4 linked regions of the Drosophila melanogaster genome follow. The protein of the gene in region 2 interacts with the protein of the main gene of each other region in a pairwise test. Each region holds a gene or a part of one and is shown on either strand. Other genes may lie near its edges. The genes, in order: CG3598, CG14086, CG34208 and TMEM216.

Evidence for each region.
Region 1: the proteins of CG14086 (region 2) and CG3598 interact in a two-hybrid assay, tested with the Drosophila melanogaster proteins (one large-scale study listed by BioGRID).
Region 3: the proteins of CG14086 (region 2) and CG34208 interact in a two-hybrid assay, tested with the Drosophila melanogaster proteins (one large-scale study listed by BioGRID).
Region 4: the proteins of CG14086 (region 2) and TMEM216 interact in a two-hybrid assay, tested with the Drosophila melanogaster proteins (one large-scale study listed by BioGRID).

Annotation. Positions count from the first base shown.
Region 1 is NC_004354.4:2,935,423-2,938,586, reverse strand, and holds CG3598 (uncharacterized protein), read right to left. Parts: upstream 1,561-3,164; 5' UTR 1,460-1,560; coding exon 641-1,459; 3' UTR 514-640; downstream 1-513. Other genes in the region: CG3592 (uncharacterized protein), read right to left, coding at 2,668-3,164.
Region 2 is NT_037436.4:19,273,997-19,280,425, reverse strand, and holds CG14086 (uncharacterized protein), read right to left. Parts: upstream 4,636-6,429; 5' UTR 3,834-4,635; coding exon 3,707-3,833; intron 1,498-3,706; coding exon 1,437-1,497; intron 1,387-1,436; coding exon 1,312-1,386; intron 1,042-1,311; coding exon 793-1,041; intron 729-792; coding exon 602-728; 3' UTR 507-601; downstream 1-506. Other genes in the region: CG14089 (uncharacterized protein), read left to right, coding at 1-300.
Region 3 is NT_033778.4:22,331,222-22,334,005, reverse strand, and holds CG34208 (uncharacterized protein), read right to left. Parts: upstream 881-2,784; 5' UTR 855-880; coding exon 702-854; 3' UTR 501-701; downstream 1-500. Other genes in the region: pgc (polar granule component), read right to left, coding at 1,594-1,809; T3dh (type III alcohol dehydrogenase), read left to right, coding at 1,962-2,011, 2,074-2,158, 2,374-2,748.
Region 4 is NT_033777.3:8,714,657-8,721,866, reverse strand, and holds TMEM216 (transmembrane protein 216), read right to left. Parts: upstream 5,625-7,210; 5' UTR 5,299-5,624; intron 4,972-5,298; 5' UTR 4,743-4,971; coding exon 4,526-4,742; intron 4,019-4,525; coding exon 3,825-4,018; 3' UTR 3,496-3,824; exon of another isoform or gene 3,411-3,495; intron 2,670-3,410; exon of another isoform or gene 2,535-2,669; coding exon of another isoform or gene 2,279-2,534; intron 2,064-2,278; coding exon of another isoform or gene 1,870-2,063; 3' UTR 547-1,869; downstream 1-546. Other genes in the region: CG8136 (uncharacterized protein), read right to left, coding at 1-244, 306-327; CG11760 (uncharacterized protein), read right to left, coding at 1,870-2,063, 2,279-2,534; Cks85A (Cyclin-dependent kinase subunit 85A), read left to right, coding at 6,070-6,128, 6,199-6,430; CG8112 (uncharacterized protein), read right to left, coding at 6,691-7,210.

The sequences.
Region 1 (3,164 bases), on a different chromosome or scaffold from region 2:
AAAAATAGTTTACTACGAAACTTTTACAGTTCTATAGAGATGTTCTCAAATGAGTTTCTCTACCATTGTTTGTATATATGTGTGTACCATCTGATTTTCGGATCCTTTATCATACAAAATTTGCAGTTATTAATTCATATATCATACTTTTGATAGCCTATGGGCATTAAGTGACTTATAACTAAGGTTGTGTCGAAGTTAAAGGATAAACTGGAATAAAGCTGAACCATGATACAAATAAACTCCATGATAAATGCAAATTTTTCTATCAATGGAGCTAAGCAGTGATCTATTTTGAGGCAAAGCAATCTTATGTATCTTATACACTGCTAGGAAATGGTACACCATATATGATAAATAAATAATAAAGTTATACAAGTAGTATACGATGTTTTACGGCAAAACCTTTAAAATAAGTTTCAACTTAATGATTCAAAACCATAGTCTTTGCATGTTGGTTAATTTCACATCATAATTTCACCACCCATAAAAAATACGAAAAAAAATATTTATAATTTTCATATCACATTTTATTTGTCGCATCGTCATCAAGTGTCTCAAATTTCTTGTCCTGATCGTTAGGGGATCTTAACTATAATACTATATAGAAATGGGGCTAGGACGACCTTCGTTTCGTGTCTCAACCCTGGAATACGACCTGTCCGCGGCGCCTCTGGTTGCCACGCCTACGGTTGCCGCCTTGGGGGCGAATGACGCGTACATTGCGCCTGCGGTTGCCACCCACTCGGCGACGCCTTTGGGCGGGGCGGCGGCGTCGGATATTGTTGTTGTTGATGCCGCGGCGGCGAATGTTCCTGCGTCCGTTGTTCTTGCGGCGACGAACTACCACGCGGTTGGCGCGCTCTTCCTCGATTTCATCAACGGATGAGGCGGATCGCTCCATAAGAGCCACCACCGCGCCATCGGGAATGGCGTCTAGGGCGGCACGAGGCACTAGGAGAGCCGCCTTGCCGGTCTTCTCGTCCAGAACACTCTGACCCTCGATCTCGATAATGCCATCGGGCACCATAATGGCACCAGCCTGATCCCGGTTAACCATCATCTGCTTCTTGGGCAGCTCATCCTGAACGTGATCCTGCTCCTGATCCTGATCATCGTCCTGTTCGTCATCAGCGTGGTTCTGCCTGTAAGCCAGACCGCTGCGGGCAAAGTTCAGGCCCAGCTGATGCTCCAGTTCCTCGTCATCCTCCGTCTCGTCATCGTGCTGGTCCTCATCATGTAGATCATCATCTTCCTCCTCGACAATTTCGAAGCCCTGGACGACGGCGCCGGCGTTGGCCCGACCCTTGGGAATTGACAGGAAGAGGTAGGGATGCTGCTGCGCCCTTTGACCCTGCACCTGATTGCGCCCCTGAACGTGCTGAAGGCGTGGCTCGGCCAAGGCCACGGCCACAAACAGGCACAAGCCCACCAACAAGATAGCACCCAGCTTGGACATCTTGTTTTTTTTTTTTTTTTTTGAAGATTTCTCGACGTAAAGTGCACAGAAATTAAAGATTTACTGCCGACCGGATCCTAATTGTAAGCAAGGCCCAAACAGAACTGTACGATCTGTGGCGGCGGCATTAGGTTTTTATGCGAAAAAGTTCTGGCCAAAAATCCAGAATCCATAATCTAGAACCCATAGAAACCGAGAAGAGAGAGCCCACTCAGGCCACAAGAACATTGGTCATAATTGCGGTCGATGTCGGCATAATTTCAAGTGGCGAAATTTTGTGGAAGAAATGTAGAAAATGGTGAAAAATAGAATTAGAAACGAATGTCAGTGACCCGCCGGTGGGACAAAAGAAAGAGCGCTGAATAAATCAGCAGCCGCCGAATCAAAAAGTCGAAGATCACCAAAAACACCAAAGGCCCAAAAAAAAAAAAAAGCGCCGCGGTCATGCTAATGACAAAACAATCAGAGACACGCACAAATCTCGGCATCCCAAGAGACCGAGAAACCCGAGAAGTCAAGGGCCGATCCGAACCTATGATGGACCTGCTCTCGGAGTCAGCGACGCATGCGAAGTGGTCGTATCCCATCCCCGGCCACCGGTCATATACCCAATGACCAATGTGAATATCGATGAAAGGGGTGTATGGTATAGGGGGCAAATGTGTATTCCAGCATCGCTGATTGATCGAGCCACGTTGGGATGGAATTATGCCTTTGTCCCGTGATTAATATGCCAGCCAAGAGGCTTCTTATGCGTGGAAATGGCCAATTGTACAGGTGAAAGACTGAAGGTTGGCCAATATTTCACATGCGAGCCCTCTGTAATTTTACTGTTTTCTTTAGTCGTGCAATAAATCTACAATTTTTGACACGGAATTTATTATTTCTTAATTAAACAATGTTGAAACTTGTTTAAAATCTTAGGCATACTGCAATATGACCAAATAGCAAGCATAGATATTAAAGTGTTTTTGTTTTCCAAGGGATTTCTCAGTTGAAAGTCAGAAAGTATGCTAATGTTTCTTTCGAAATTGATTAACAAACTTCACTTGATCTTCCAAATATTTGCTGTCATGCTGAATAGAATTCCTATAAATGTAATTTTTGTGTGATTTACTTTTTTATATGGTAGGGCTTAGAAAATATAAACATTTTGCAATTGCCTTCAGCACTTCAATTTAATTATTCACAATGCTTGGTCATAAAATTTAATTGTGAAGGTGATCAATTTTCAATCCGATGGCTTTGAACCAGCTGTTGGGTAGCAAATGGACAATGTCTCTACAGAGGCAGAGGAACTCGTAGCTAACCACTGAAATGGTGGCGGCCAGCGTGGAGATCCTGAGCCTTTTAATTTTCCAACTACTCCACTCCCGTCGTGCGAATCCCAAATTGAGGGCGAACCACTGACTGCACGAGAGGAGCACAAAGCCACACAAGCCCATCAATCGGTGGATGACGTGCAGAGCCAGGTGGGTGAAGCACACCAGGGCGAAACCACTGGCCACGGCCCCAGCGATAAGCAGGAATCCCAAAAGGCCACACAATCCATGTTTGGAATTAAAGTGCGGCTCATGTATCTTGCTCTTGAAGATACTCTTCGCGAATATCCCCACCAGTCCCAGCCAAAGTCCCACCATTCCCAATACCATGTGCAGAAGGTTGAGCCGGTTTTCGGAGATGAAGTCTCCTAACCACCAGGAGT
Region 2 (6,429 bases):
CCCGGGATGCCTGGAATCCCTGGCCAACCTGGTCCTCAGGGTCCTCCTGGATATCCCGGAGGTTCATATCCACCGTATCCGTATCCTCCACCTCCTCCTCCTCCATCACATGGACATGGAGGCCCTAAAGGCCACCAGAGGCACTACTATAACTACTATGATGAGGACGAGTATGATTACGGCAATGAGCGTTCTTTTGGTCTGAGAAAAACCGAAGAATTCGACGACCAGCCCTTCATTTTGGCCTTTAGTGAACGCAGAAATCCGTTTAGCACAAAAAACAATAAAAGACGAAATTAAAATAACATTATTTAAAACGAAATAGCTTTGATAATTATTTCTGTAGGTAAAAAGCAGATACCCAATACTTAAAAGGAACTTTCAAAATTCTTTTGAAGAATGTCCTTTTTGACTTTTGAGTGGCTTCGTTTATAAATGACACCAAAAATCATACAAAGTGTGGGTTTATCGATTACCTATAAAAATATACCACGCACTCAGCGTTTAAATCGAAACCTCTTTACAAACTGTATATTATTAGACATTTGTTAAGTCGTTTAAAATCTCACATTACATTAGGCAGAAAAGCTGGCTTAAACTATTAGCAAACATCGTCGTCTAGGGCGGTGTGGTCGTCGCCCTCCTCCTCCGCTTCCTCATCCAATCCCGCTTGCGTGGCACCAATCTCCGCGAAATCATCCTCCATGGTATCCACAAAGCTCGACACCCTATCATCGCAGAACAAACAGACATTAGAAACAAATAACAAAGACATTCGTTGGCTGGCATCACTTTTCAAAGTCGCACTGCGGCAGGAGACCCTCCTCCTTCGAGGCGCTGAATCGGAGCAGCGTGCACAGTCTGAGGAGTCCGAGGAGTATCAGGAACATCCCGGCCACATAACTCAGCCACAGATTGTGGGGATACAGGATCAGGCAGATGCCGATGACCGCATAAACAGGAGTGGGTCGCCAACCGCCACAAATCGCTGAAAGTCGCCAGCAGGCCAAGCAGCTGCAGGACCTTCGCTGGTAATTATCCCTGAAACAAATTGAATTCACAAATATGTGAACAGAGAAAAATTTGCAGAGAAAAATCTGAGCAAAGGCACTTGATATAGAGTATTGTATATAATAGTAAAGTATATCATATTATAGTATAATTAGGGTTTAATTAGTTTTACAACTACTAGGCTTGGTAACTAGAATTTCTATATTTCATAAATAATAACTGCTAATTATCAAATAATATATATACGAATAACTATAATTTATGAACATGTTATTTGGTAATCTTGAATAGTTTTCTTACTCTGCGCACTGAAGTTGCAGGAAGATAGTCACAAGCCACTTGATCTCGATAAACATTACCAGCACGGCTGAAAAACTAACCAGAAATTAGTATAGTTATGGGGGATATTTAGATCCGTGACTTACACTATATAAAGACCGGCCCGATAGCCATGCATGTAGACATCAACGCCAACGCCGCAGATAACTGAAATGAAAAATGGCTAAAGAAAGGTTCGGTGCGGGGGGTCCTTTTTGGCGGGTTGAAACGAGGAGTGTTATCCTTGAACGAGCCTATAAAATAATGTGAGTGTGTCTAGGCAAATATATTTATAAGCATATTTATTGAGCTGGGCCTTTTTTGTTTACCATGCTTTGGCCATAAAATGTAATACAAAACCAATGAATGGAAACGAGGTGAGCTCAAGAAGTTTATCGCAATTTTACTGAAGCTTACATCATTTGCAATAGAGTATTTTAAGAAGGCAATGTCCTACACATTACGAAATAACATAATGATAATTAATAATAAATAGCTTGGAAGAAACTTCAATATTCATGACGAACTTAAATTTTATAACTTAAAAGGTTTCTATATTTTTGTCGAACAGCCCTCCGCAGGGCATTCATATTCTAACCACATTATGGTTCCGCTTCACATTTTGTCTTAGCCAAATCCACTTTGAGTGTATAAGATATGGTTAGATGTGGTTATGGAGCCACCACGCCCAGTGGTCCATAAAAATACAATCTAATTAAGTTGTTTTTATTATGCCGGGTCGCGAAAAACCAATCAGATTAGCCAGTTAGATATATGTATATGTATGCCCCATATTTAAGCACAACTGCAGAACCGAAACCAAACCAATTACATTAAATGCTGTCAACGGAGATAAAAATTGAAAAAGCGGAAATCGAAAAAACATGCAAAAATTATCTGGATAATTGAAAGCGGTGGGGGAAAAATAGATGCCGGGCAAGAGGAAAACTTGGCGAATGGCTGGCGCCTAAAGGCTAACAACACAGCTCATTGTCGACCGTATGGAAAAGTTGCTGATAAGGGGAAAATCGGGCTGGGAAAACTCTGCTCTTGGCACAGGATGCCAGTCGTGAGCTGCAAGCTGCAAGCTGCATAGAGGCCAATGCCTTGTTAATGGCTCTGCCAGAGAGTTTCCTTGGAAAACCCCATCCCTCTTACCCGATCCCTATAATGCGGAGCTTATGAACTACAGAGATTTTATACTTTGTTTTCCTGCGTGCCACTGCACCCATGATGGACCCCAAAACAATTTGCAAAGAAATTAGTTTGAACTTGACCCGAAGTTTTTGTTGGCCTGCCTGCAGCTGGGCGATTTATCAAATTCTGTATAAAAAAACGGCGGTGCACTATCTTAAGCGCATTAGGAAAATGTCAGATGGTGGAGGAAAATCGTTATGATTGGCCACGATAAGCGTTTAAGCCAACTTTGATAACTTCACCAGATGGCAGAAAAATTGGGATGAAAAAATGTGATTGCATTTTCGTAGATTAGAATGCGGATACAGGGTGAAAAAGTTACGTTGTGCAACCAAACTGAATTCATTTCAGAAAGGTAATATTATTATTTATTAAGTTTTTGCTTCACTTTACCTTGCCTGTTTAATAAATTAAATTTGACTTCGTAAATTGACAAACGAAATGCCATTAAATTTCAGGCTGTCAATCTAAAATTATTGCCTCAATTTAAACGGAAAAAATGTAACACAAAGCTGGGTTGTACAAAAAAAGCATAATTGAATTGTAATTAAATGACGCAAAAAAAGGGAAATTAATCTTCTACCAATTTACTCTCTGTGTTCTATTTAATTGTTAAGCTAAACTGGAATTTCAGTAGTATTGGATGGCATTTATTTATTTTACCAAATTACATTAGGTCAAATATCCTGTTCATTAGAGCACATATTCTGTGCTATATGTGCTCTGTGAATATGGAAAACCATTTCCTTTTATGTACATTTATTTTGCCAGTCTTCTCAAACAAATGCAAAACCTTTGTGTACAATGAAAATATTGCTCAAAGAGTAATATTATATGAATTGAAAGGAACAATAAAAGCAGCCAATAAGAGCGTGTCCCCATTCAGCATCGTCTTCGTCTTGCGAATCCCATTCAGTGCCAAGAAATATAATAAGCCACAGCACTCAACATATCCCGAGGCAATGGTTCCCATGCACAAGTATTTCCTACGATTTGTCAAGGGTAAACATTCCAAATAAGGGCCAGAAAAGCATTGCACATTCATACATAAATGCATGCACATGCACATGCATCATAGCCTCGTATCGAGATTGGCATTATCTCGAAACGGGGGTCACCTGGGCACCGGCACCGACAAGTCTTATTCCACTGGCTCGGATTTCCGCGCACTTGAGCTTACCGAATGAAGTCAGCAGACCAAAAACCCTTATCACAGGACGAAGGCACTCGCACGGCTCTGCGGACTGATTGCGGCGATGATGACGGGCGCGGCGAACGCGCTGCGATTGCAGTTGCATCTGGCTCATGGCTGACTTGGTTATATATATATATATATAGATATTTACTTTATGAATTTCTATCTATATTTGTTTTATGAATCGCCAAAAGTGCGGCTTTATTCTTAATATCTTATTTATTGGAGCTCAAGTTTTTCTTCTCCTTCGTTATTACTGATGACAAAAGTCGAAGCCATAGCATTTAAATTTTTGATTAATGTGTAAGCTCCACTTACTTAATTTCCAATTTATTTAATATATTTATTCGTTTTTAATTTCACTTTAGAACAATTTTAGTTTTTGGTTAAATTCAAATTTTCAATGTACTACTTTCTAATCCTCCATAACTTTAAATACTCTCATCCGAAACTGACGTTTTAGGTCCTGTCCAAGGGAATCGCTAATAAAACAATCAAAGAGCCGTATCCACATCACAAAAATGCACTACGTGCCTGGCATACTAAGTGGCCAAACAACTTTGCGATAAATATTTTCAATTCCAGCTCGCACAGCTTTTAAATTTCACCATTTAACTCGGGCACACACTGCGTATTCGTAATGTGACATTTTTCGCACCTCTCCTTCCATTGCCTTTAATCACCGCACCGTTTGCTTGTGTGTGTGTGTGTGTGTGTGTGTGGCAACTAATGTCTGCAAATTACCGTTACCATTTGCACTTTGCCCCCGCACGTTGTGTGCCCTCTATAATATATATTTTTTTTATTAAATATTTTTCTTATTGTTGTTGAAGGTTTGTAACTTTTTTTATTTTTGTCAAGTGCCACTTTGCCACACGACTTTATGGCCGAGCTCTAAACAACGAACGTCCGCACGCTTCCAGCGGCGCCAGCAGAATGAAACTGAATGAAAGGACCGGCCAGGATTCGTTTCTATTTTCGGAGTCAGGATCCAGAGTCGCCGCTCAGGCTGCTTTTCCCATTGCTTTTCCTACTGCCACTGACTTTGTAGCCAAATACCAGCCAATGGGGCGGCGCTGCATTCGAAACTGCTAAGTTGATTTGTTACGAGAACGAACGCGTAGTGTTTATTTCTTTTTAAATGCGTTTTTGCGATTTAATGCTGAGATTTATGGAGACCGCAAAATTTATCCATGTTGTTTTAAAGATGTTTTTAATTGGTTAGCTGTTTTTGACATCCACTATCATTTGTATTTGAAAACTTATTTGGCGTTGGCAGTATGAGAATTCTTTAAAACTATGCTCTTGAAATATATTAATTGAAAGCAAGAATATAGGGCTGATTTTTAACTAGAATAATGCTTTAATTTCAATCAGAAGTTATTTAACTTGGTTTTTTTTTAGTATTGTAGTAGGAATACAATTTTTGAATTACATTGTTAATATAATTAAGGAACTCAAATAAATAATTAATTTTCTTTTTGTCTTCAGTATTTTAATTAGAACTGTTTGTATGTTTTATCTCTTTTTTTTTGTAAAAAGTGTTTCCTCTCGCGATTTATTGTGTAGCGTAGCGCATTGGGTCAGTCTTTATAGTCCTGCGGTTTTTTACAAGAAGGCACCATGGGCGAGAGCTTAATATTGTGTGTGATTTAAATATATTCCCACCCGAATGCTTACTTGATTACGATTTTTCCAAATGTAAAAGAAGAGGGAAGTATGAAATTTACCTACGATTTTACACAACGAAAATCTTACTTATATGCACTTGATAAATATTCTACCAGGTGTAAAGATAATCTTTAACTATTACAAATATTGAAGTTTTAAGCCTAAAACAGGATTCTCGGCCCACTGCTCAAAGCCAGCTTGATTTTATTTGTCACGTTGTCCTGTGTGTGAAGCCAGTGCCTCATGTTGTTGCCACTGCTCAAGCGGCTCTGTGTGTGCGTGCCCTCGTCCTGCAGGTCCTGTGGATCCCCGCACCCGTCTTTGGCCACGTTTCAGTAATTTTCATAACTGGCTGAATGGTGAGCGGAGCGGCGGGAGGTGTAAAGAAGCTCAAAAGACAACCAGGAGCAAAGCTGAGCAATTGCCAAGAGGCGGACGAGTACGCAGAATGTGGACAAAAACATTTTCGGTTGCTACACCGCCCTCATCCTCATAAATTAAATGGGGGCCAAATTCAGGAGAGGGGAAGCACGAGTAAATATTTTTTTAGCTCCTCCGCTTATTGTCCTGTGCATTTGCTAAGGTGTCTGTCGTCAGGCTTGTTTGCATTATGCGGCGTTAATGACATCCAAAGTGGCAGCCGTCGCCCCAAGGAAAGTCTCCACTGTCGCCGCCATCTACGACATAATTCACAGATGCCCCACACTCTGAAAAGTTAATTTCCTTAAGGAACAGCTCGAGGATTCTAGCGAAATACTTCTGAAGGTCGTCCTTGATACCGCCTCCTGCAGTTGGAGTCGTTTGTCCAGGTCTTCTATGCTTGCAATTGGTCTTACACTGTACACAATGAAAAAAGTTGTAATTTGCAAAAACAAAATTTTACATTTATTGTAATGTTTGTTTGTTAGTTAATGTCTTTTAGATATGGTTAGAGTTAATTACTTTGTAGCCATTTAAAAAAGGCTTTTTATAATTTATTGATCCAATTTGGTGTCCTCCTCACTTTGATAGCTGTTCTAATTTTTCTCATTTGCATA
Region 3 (2,784 bases), on a different chromosome or scaffold from region 2:
ACATATATGTAATTCTAATTGTAATTGTAACTGTAAAGATAGCTCTAAACCGATTTAAAAGTGAGAGGCAGATTGCGTGACGGTAATATACTCACTGAATTACAAGCCGATTTGGGCACTGGAGATGCGATTGCAATTTAGATAAATTGAAATTATTTTGTAACCGAAACTATCGTAGCTAAGCAAATGGAAACGGAAACTATTGAATTAAATTTGATAAGCCGCAAGATGCGGCACTTTGTAAATTATGATAAGCCCTAAGCAACGTTCAATATCGCATGGTAATGGTAAAATCCGAAACAGAATCAAATATATGGTAAATACAAACGCACTCCCCAAAAAAAACCCTCGCACAACCAAAGAAAGTCAGTCAGCCTGCTTTATCCGCCAATCAATCAGTATCGAAGAATCCCCGAGAGCGTCAGGGTATCATTAAGCTGACCAATTTAACTGTAGACCTATGTCGAAGAAAACTATCGAATAAACCCATGATCAAAACTCTGTTGTAAACGAATGAGTCTTTATTGTGCACGGGAAGATGCCACTCGCTAGATGAGCAGCACCTCAACATATTGCATTTTCTCGACTCCAAAACATTTCACCTTCACCGTGAGTCGCTGTGCCTCCTGTGTCCTTTGTGGTTCGGTGCATCTTCGGGGAGATTTCGTGGGTTTTTCCATCTCCTCCAGCCGCTCGGATTGCTAGCGTCGATCGTTGTCGTTATCGTTTCGAGGACGTCGCGTTGTGTGCGGACGACCCTTGGGCTCCGGATTGGGTTCCGCTAGGGCTAAAGTGCCCAGACTGCCGATGAGTCCGAGGATGCCGAATACCAGGAACAAACTAAGCCACTTCATCTCGCGATCGCGATGTCGAGTTATTACCAGTTCAACACAAACTGCTGAACGATACGCCTGGAATCAAACGTTTTATGGCCTGGCGCCCAGAAGATCGGCGACGATCTGCATGCTAATGAGGGAAACTGCCGTCAACATCGTTTACCATTGCCAGTAGTTTATGTTCGCAGATCGGCCAGATAGCGCGGCAAATTGAGTTGTAAATCCAGCGCGAAAAATGGGCGGACATACATTTAGGTAATTAGCTCCATTGTAATGGGAACAATTGTTCCCATTACAATTGAATCGCAGTCACATCTTACTGTGGGACCCGTAATTAAAAACGAATGGGTTTTTGAACGATTGCGAATCGAAAATATATTTCTATCTATTTTTTGGGTAAGTATTTGAGAAATTTCGAGCTTCCCTACTTGTTCTTGAATACATTAGGTGCAATACCGAAGGCAAATTATTGCCATTTTTAGATCTAGGACAACCATATGCGATTGATTGGTACAAATTGATTACTTGGTAGAGTGACAAAACAATGCGAGTTTTCACGAAAGCAAACATTTGAATACACGGACAAATTGACTTCAAGAAACTATGCATACGATCGCCTCTGAAGGCTGGTAGTTACAATATAAAATAACCGAGCACTTATCAAAAGTGCATTCACGATGTTCCACTCATGTGGCAAACGAACTGCTAAAACTATAATTTACAAATATCACAATAAGTTGGCTTTTGGGAGGTCCAGTCAGAATCTCCATCTATCCGCGATGACCGGCGGACTCAGGCTCAAGTTTTGCTGGAAAACCTGGCAGAGCTCATTCATCTCCCGCTCCCTTTGCAACTCCTCGCGCACTTGATGCCACATGGACTCGAATCCATTGTCGTAGGATGCCATCGAGGCATCGCCCTCGCAGGAGCTGTCTTCAAAAATAAAGGAGTACTCCATCTGGTAGTCGCACATTTTCGGGTCTTCTTGTAGTTCAAAGCTGCAAGACAGAGAATTTCAAATTGTTAGCTATCGATTATGAAGTGCTGTCTTTTGGCGCCAGCTATCGATTCGGCGGGTTCTTATCAAACGAAAGACCAGTCCAGCTGATTTCATTTATATACAGAATGTCGCGGAAGAATGTCTTAGGTTTGATCAACACGATCGTGGCCAACTCGTAAGTAAAAATTGCGTTTTATAACTGATTTCAAGTGATTTAAATAAAGTATGGTCTTATAGCTGCAAGTGCCCCGCCCATTCGCATAACTATGGCTCAGCAGCTCCAACCGCCTCCCAAACGGGTCGCATGGAATACGCCTTCGAGGTAAGTGGCAAAACCTTGGACTTTGGAGCACCTCCAGATAGTAGATTCTCATCTTTAGACAGGTGGTCATACCCTGGACCAGATAATACTATCTCTATATTCTTAAGCATCCCAATAGAATTTATATTTTAGATCTTGTGAATACTTTTAACTTAAATTTTGTTCGGTATATAACAAATTCTAATTCAAATTTGGTCAAATGTATTGATAAACAGATGTCAGCCTCGACTGTTCGATTTGGACCGGGAGTAAGTGCCGAAGTGGGAGCCGATCTTCGCAACTTGGGAGCTCGGAAGGTTTGTTTGGTCACGGATAAAAATGTCGTGCAATTGCCCTCCGTGAAAGTGGCCTTGGATTCACTGGCTCGTAATGGCATCAACTACGAAGTCTATGATGAAACCCGGGTGGAGCCCACGGATGGGAGCATGTGGCATGCCGTGGAGTTTGCGCGCGGCAAGGAGTTCGATGCATTTCTGGCCATCGGAGGAGGATCTGCCATGGATACAGCCAAGGCAGCTAATCTTTTTAGCAGTGATGCAAATGCAGAGTTTTTGGATTATGTAAACTGCCCAATTGGCAGAGGCAAGGAGGTGAGGTCTCCTTTTTAGACTTAGTACCTTTAATAC
Region 4 (7,210 bases), on a different chromosome or scaffold from region 2:
GACATTATGCCCAATGCACCTTGTTCGTTGGTGGCGCTCTTTGTTTCCAACTCTTGCGCTGGCAGCTGGCAATTTTCGGAGGTAGTGTGTCCCTTGGTGGGCACATCGGTCACCTGACTTCGGTTTAGGCTGCGCGAAGGAAGCCGCCGATAATTGACCAAGGAGTCGAATGTCTCCTCCTCCTCGTTGAGCTTCCACATGACGCGGCGACTGCTACTAGACATTGAACGTCCAAACCCCTCTTCTGGAGCAAAGAACACACATAGTTTTAACAACTTAAGGATGCCACACTCGGCTTGACTCACCCGACTTGTGGTTTTTATCCATGGAGATGGCTTGAGTTTTCCTCTGACAAATTAACTTCGCCACTGGCCTGCAGCAGTTCTGGTTTTGAATTTACAGAGCTTACAAATTTGGGAGGCCTGTCTGTGTGTAGCTGAATAATATCTGAAATTTTGGAGGCACAAAACGAAATACACCTATCATACTCGAAAAGATCTTATTGAACCCACGGCCTACTAATAACAGATTCCTTTTTCTTTTTTTCGATCTTTAATATTCATTTTCATCGAGTGTATATGTTCTTTTAAATATTGTTGTCGTTATTTTATTAACTATCCGTTTTACACGCGCTTTAAAAGTATGTTAACATTTTGCGTTTAACGAAATGACATAAATATTATACAGGTAAATTATTCAACGTAGGATGTGGCTTTGGTTTTCTTTCAGCTTCTAGCTTCCAGCTGTTTGGTTTCAGTAAAATTATTTCTTTTGTTTTAAAAGCATGAGATTTGTGGACTGTTGAGAGTTTTTGTTATCGATTTGTGCGTTATTTTGCTATGAAACCACACAAAGGTCTTATCAAATTATTACACAATCTTCGGTCTAGCTTAGAAAATGTTTGTGAACATTAGTGACTAGCATTGGAGGAGCTGCAATCCTCGGATCCTATCAGGCGGGGATAATTGAGCGTGATTTAAAGGGCGTTTCGAGTTGCCAATAGGCTGAATTGGGGAGAAGTGTAATGGAGGGTTTTCGCCTAGTTTTTAACACTCTATAAATGTTTTATATGATTTAGCTAATTTGTTGTTCGCTTTCTAGTAAACGGTTGCCCGCTCGGGTTTGCATTGTTTTTAGTGACGTCTTGAAAATGTTATTTACGCTATTTGCTAGGTTTATATAAAGTAGTTTCATTAAAGTACACACATGGTCTAGACTTTTAACTGGGCTTAATTATGTTGTTCTCCGCCTTTTGAATATTGGTATGAACTACTAAACGCTGACTCTTAGTGGTAATGAATTTTTTTAATGGCCTTTCGGCCATTTGTTTTTCATGATTTTGATGCTGACTAGATTTTGTGAGACATTCCACTGATTTTTTTACAATTCTTTTTAAGATTCGAGCTATCTGTGAACTATTATAAATTATTATTTCCACACATCAAATTTGTTTTTCGGCTGTTTTTCGATATTTTTCTTTTTACAAAAAAATTTTCATCTTAAAATTGTGAAAATTATTCAAGTTTTAGGTTTTGCTTGTTGTCTTATATTGGTTCCAATTGATGCTTAAATGTTAACAATTTTTGTATATAAAACCGTTAAATATATGTATATAAGAGTGTGTGTATGTTATCATAAACCTTACTATACATAATTATTAATATGCTACATATGTGTTTTGTTTTGTTTTTTTTTTCTTTCTGTTTGGTTTCTCTTCTCCACGGCCATGAGCAATTCAGCTGCCTACTGCTTTTCAAATTCATTAAATTTCCTTACACCGCATATTATCCTTTTTCGATCTTATAGATTGCTAAACTTTCGCATGTATATTTGCTGCTAGTTGGCTGTTGGATGTTTCTGTCTATATGGCTAATCATAAGTTACTGGACGACACAGCGAGAAAACGAAGACGATGGCATACCACACCTCGGTCAGGTAAAGGGCGATCTGCAGCGTGCACAGGCAGTACTCCAGGCGCAGTCGGTAGGTCTGGAGCAGCAGTAGATAGGAGACGCCCACAAAGCAGGGGGCGGTCATGAAGACCGACAGTATGGCCGACCAGCCTGTGATAGAAAAGCAGAAGAGTTCATTAGAATCTGATTGTAAAAGCCATAGATACTATTCTATTACAATTATAAATAAGGATGATAATGAGTTAATTAGTATTTCTTAAGTCTAATGGTTTGGTTTGATTAAACGATTGATAACGCCATTGAGGATGATTCTATTGTTTTAGAATATCCTATAATTAGACCAGCCAGCAGGCGGGAGCTTCTACCTCGATCGGCCAGCGAACTCATGCGCCCCATTATCAATCGGATCGTCTCAAAGACAATGAAGCTAATCATCACCCCCGTGTCCAGGGCTAGAGTATGTCCCGTGTAGCTGAGATTGATGGCCTTCAGGAGGCCCATGGCCATCTCGCAACAGGCGAACATGCCAAAGTAGAACGAGTTGAGGTAGATCAACACCTCGTAGTTCATGCTGGGATTTGGCTTCTTCGGCACGAGCGGTGGCGGACGCTTGGGCGGCATCTTTCTGCCGGCTTAGCACCTCCTTCTGCTGCTTCTCCTGTTACCCCTCGATGTCTACGGCAAATTGGACCGATTTGATCTCCCGGATCGCTCACACGGCGGCGTTGCTCACGTTGGGCACTGTATTTATAGACTGACCATAATAATAACGCGAACCTGCCGTGCTTGGCCAATGCAGCGGCAGCGGCATCGACATCGGCGGTCTCACGGTTTGTCGCTGCGAAATGTGCTGTTTATTTGAATAATGTGCTGCTGGTCGTTGTCGCCTTTTATTTGTTTTCTCTGCTCGCTGTTTGGGTCAGCATTGGCCGGCAGATCGCCTGCCTAGAAATGTGGGGGAGAATGATTTCACTGGCGGCTAGTTGGGGGGAAAAAACTACTAAAAACTCCCTGGGCGTTATGCTCTACAGGGCCCAGGGCCATTAAATGGTTACCTTGAAATTCAGGATAGGTTTAGGGTGAATATATGAAAACCATTGTTGGAATTTTAATTATTTTTAAAAACTCAAAGCGTTATGCCTCGCTAAAGTCCCGTGAATCTCTCTCCTGTGAATCGTACAGGGCATGTTCACTAGACCAAAGACCAAACGGAGAGCCCTCTCATCTTGGCCATTACAGTCAGGCTAACTTGCCCGCAGTGGGCCGTGTATATTACATTCAAATTAGAAGTGTACATTGCACCTAGGGGACAGCAGCGGTGTTGCACGAGCCGTGCAGTTCGCATATAATTTTAGACCATCAGAGCCGTATAAAAATACCAGAACCGAGCGGGTCCGAGGAGCAACTGCGCCAGCAGGGAGGCAACGCCACAAAGGCCGGGCAAAAGAATGCAACCAAGAAATGCAAATTAAATGCAGCTTTGCTTTTGATAGAATCGGACGCGTCGTGTTTCGCTGCGATGTGATTTCCGCGGGCGCGAATGATCTGTGCGGATTATATAAGTTTATAAAGGTTCACGTACCTTGTTGAAAGTCCTCCTCAACTGCCAGCCATTGGGTATGTTATCGGGTTGTCTTGGCACGGATTCCTAGGAGGTCTAGTAGGATCTAGATTTTTTGTTTTGTTTTTATGTGCGGTGGCTTAGTGTGCATTTAAGTGGCTTAGTTTTGAGGCCTTGGCGAATCGTTTGATGTGAAATTGCCAGAGGAAAGTGTTTCGTCTTCGTCGTAGTCGTCGCTCGGCTGTGGATGCTTCTACTCCTTCTCCTCCAGGTGGGAGTGTTAGTGCTGGCTTGGTCTTGATCTCGATCTTGGTCGTTGACGTGGCGGCGGCAACGCGGCTTATCAACTGCTAGGTGTATGTGACGGGGCGACACATTGTACAAATGAATATGCTGGCGTAGACTAGTTCAGCACCTTGTAGGGTGATCATTAAGGCACTCAGAATAATTTCGAGTTTGAGAACAAAGGTTTGAAAACAACACAAGTAGATAACAATAGCAAGACTGGGCAGTGTTAATATTACGGATGCGGTTGCTTGCCAGCCTGCAAAGAGAGAAAAACAAGGAAAATGTTAGCTACAGATGCACGGAAAATCGTATAGTTCGTCTACTTGTTTATAATTAAGTGTATTCGATTGAAAGTGATTCAGTGTTTTAAAGTATTATACTAATAATTTCATGTTTACACATTGCGATAATTAATATTAACAGCTCCAATTGCTTTTCCAATAACTCATTTCGATGATTCGCTTTGATAGATTTCCTTTGCATATTGCTTAATGTGCCAGAAGGGCGCCTTTCCCCTGCCACCATAAAACGCGTGTTTTCATCCGGGGTGATGACCATAATTACGCATACGCCGAGTGGGCTACATCATACATATATGTATGTATGCCCGTCCAAACGTTTATGGGTTATGGCCCCGGAGGTAGGGGGATGGCATGAAATGGGCATTGTGACCGGGCAAACAAATAATTTCGCCATGTCATCATCGCTGCCGGTGGACTTTTCCCACCCTTGCAGTAACATGGGGATCATGGGGATTACTCACCACGATCGCTTAGACTGCTCTTCCGCCCGAAGACAATGCGCACGGTCTCGATGATGCACAGTGAGAGCAGGATGCTGGCCTCCCGGGACAACGCGTTCTCGCCGTAGTTTAGATTAATCGCCTTAAGAACGCCCACGCCCACTTCGAAGGCGGCGTACATGCCAAAGTAGAACGAGTTCAGATACATAAGTATCTCATAGATGAGGCTGGCGTTCATGGTGCCCGCTACTGCGGAAACGAGTCCGTAACCGTTGCCGTATCCGTGTCCTCCTGCGTGGCGACCAGTTCCTCAAGGCGGCAGGTGCGTCGCCTCTAAATGATTGGATGTCACCTGGGCAGTTTGGAGCAGCTCCTCCCGCTTTTCCACTGGCAGCAGCAGGTGTTTCGGCTTCTCTACGCCAGCATTGGGACCTTTGGGCGGTACGTGGTGAGTGATACCTGCTGGACTGAAAAATATTTGCTAATTGCGGTCTGCTCGTATTTACCAATGCGCGCATACATACAGTCAAACTTCCTCAACTAGAACTTCATAAAATCAATCGAATTTATAGGTGGTTTTGCTGTGCCTATGTATCTACATATGTACATTGTATGCATTTATTTACTAGCATACCGTAACGGTAAATTCATTAAGCGACAATAGGGAGTACATATACATAAAGGTTTTAGGTTCTTAGAACCCATTTTCTTCATCACTAAAGGACACTTTTTATTGTAGTAGTAAAGTCGTATCTACTTATGGAAGTTTGACTGTATTTACGTATCGTCCTCACCTCTTCCACTGCTTTTTCTTCTTGTTCCCGTTCTACTTCGCCTTTCCTCTTCTTCTAGCTGCTCCACCGTTACTGTCTAAAGTCCCGTTGTCATGGGAGTAAGTGGATGTTATGTTATGTATATGAAATGCACGCAGGCGACAACTCTATGCTAATATTAAGTACATGCGTTCACGTTTATTTATACGCGTTGTTGTGCGTTGTTGTTGCCCGCTGGCCTGGCTGGTTGTTGTTGTTGTTGGTTTGTTGGCAAGAGACGAGGGGCTTATATAAAAAGGAAAGGAACCTCAAACGCACATGCACAAATGTGGCCATGGGCGAGTAACGGAGAAATTGCCGATTGCATTTGGAAAATGTGCGAGCCTGCGAGTTCCGGTCACACTGGAAATCACATATTATCCAATTGAGTTTTTCATTCGCTAAATATGTTAACATTTTCTAACAGCATCTTTTTACAAAGTACTCGTTTTTTTAACAAAATGGCTTTAAAATGGCTTTAAACATTGCAAAAATATTGTTATACAGAAAAAAGTTTATGTTCAATATATTAAAGCCCGCTAAGATCGTGCCATTAAAAACAGTACATTTGAGTTTACCGCCAAAGGTGCTGTTAACTGGACAGCTGATAACCAAATCGATAACTTTATGTTCGATACGTGCAGCGATAACAATAGTATTTAGAATCGAATCAGTTGTGGCATATCTATCTGAATTTATTGACCTATTTTGGTAAAATTGCTTAATTTACCTCAGGTTTTCTGGCTTTTCGCAATGCCGGCCGATCAAATTCAATACTCAGAGAAGTACTTCGACGACAACTTTGAATACAGGTACGTTCAACTTGCGTTTCAGCATCCGTGAACTGTTTGTTTACACACAAACCACTTTCCCTCCCTGCAGGCATGTTATCTTGCCACCGGATTTGGCCAAACATGTGCCGAAGGCTCATCTGATGACCGAGACGGAGTGGCGCAACCTGGGCGTGCAGCAGAGCCCCGGCTGGGTGCACTACATGGTCCACGCGCCGGAGCCGCATGTGATTCTATTCCGACGCAAACGCATTCCGGCAGAGGACGCTCCACAGGTGGCAGCCGCTAATGCGGCTCAGGCCATCGCGAATCTCTGCGGTTAGGCGGAGGATGCCATGCCGCCGAGGAATGCTCTTCCAAGGACGCACTCGTCAATGCTCACGTAGTATTTCATAAGTTAGCATCAGGCAGCCTGATGTAAAATAAGAAACCATAGCTTTAGGGTTCAGCTGGGAAGTTCAAAGACACGAAACGAACTGAAGACATCGTTTCTGTTAATTTCATTAAGTTTATTTACCTAAAATACAAATCGAAGCGTACGCCCTGTGTACAGACAGTTTAAAAGTAGTGTTTAACTAATTGACTAATTGTAGCAGCGCCATACCGCCGGCAGCAGGCGATACGTCCAACTCTCGTTGCTTAGGTTGCAGTTCTTTAGGGCGTAATGCTCCATGGCGTATAGTGAGATCAGCGTGGCATTTCCCAGGATCAGAGAGAACCACAGAAAGATGTTGCCCATCACTTTTGGAGCACTCCGCATTAGGAATACCAAGGCAACACCCACGACCCCAAAGAAGAAGAACATCACTGGGAAGAACATTTGCAGGGCAAAGCCGAGAACCTGCTCATGGACCACAGCGGAGATCATGAACACTGCCAGCGAGGCGGCCACCTTGGAACCTCGGAACACATGAGTGTACATATCCTTGTACACGTACTCGTACAGCCAGTCGTGCACGACGACATTCCAGTTTCTGTAGTAGCCATCGTAAGTGTGCGACGTCCACCAGTCCTTGTAGAACATTCGATCACCGAAGCGTAGCAGCTCCGACGTGAAGTTCAGCCACGAGTGCAGGATTAGGTAGAAGCCGCACAGAAAGATC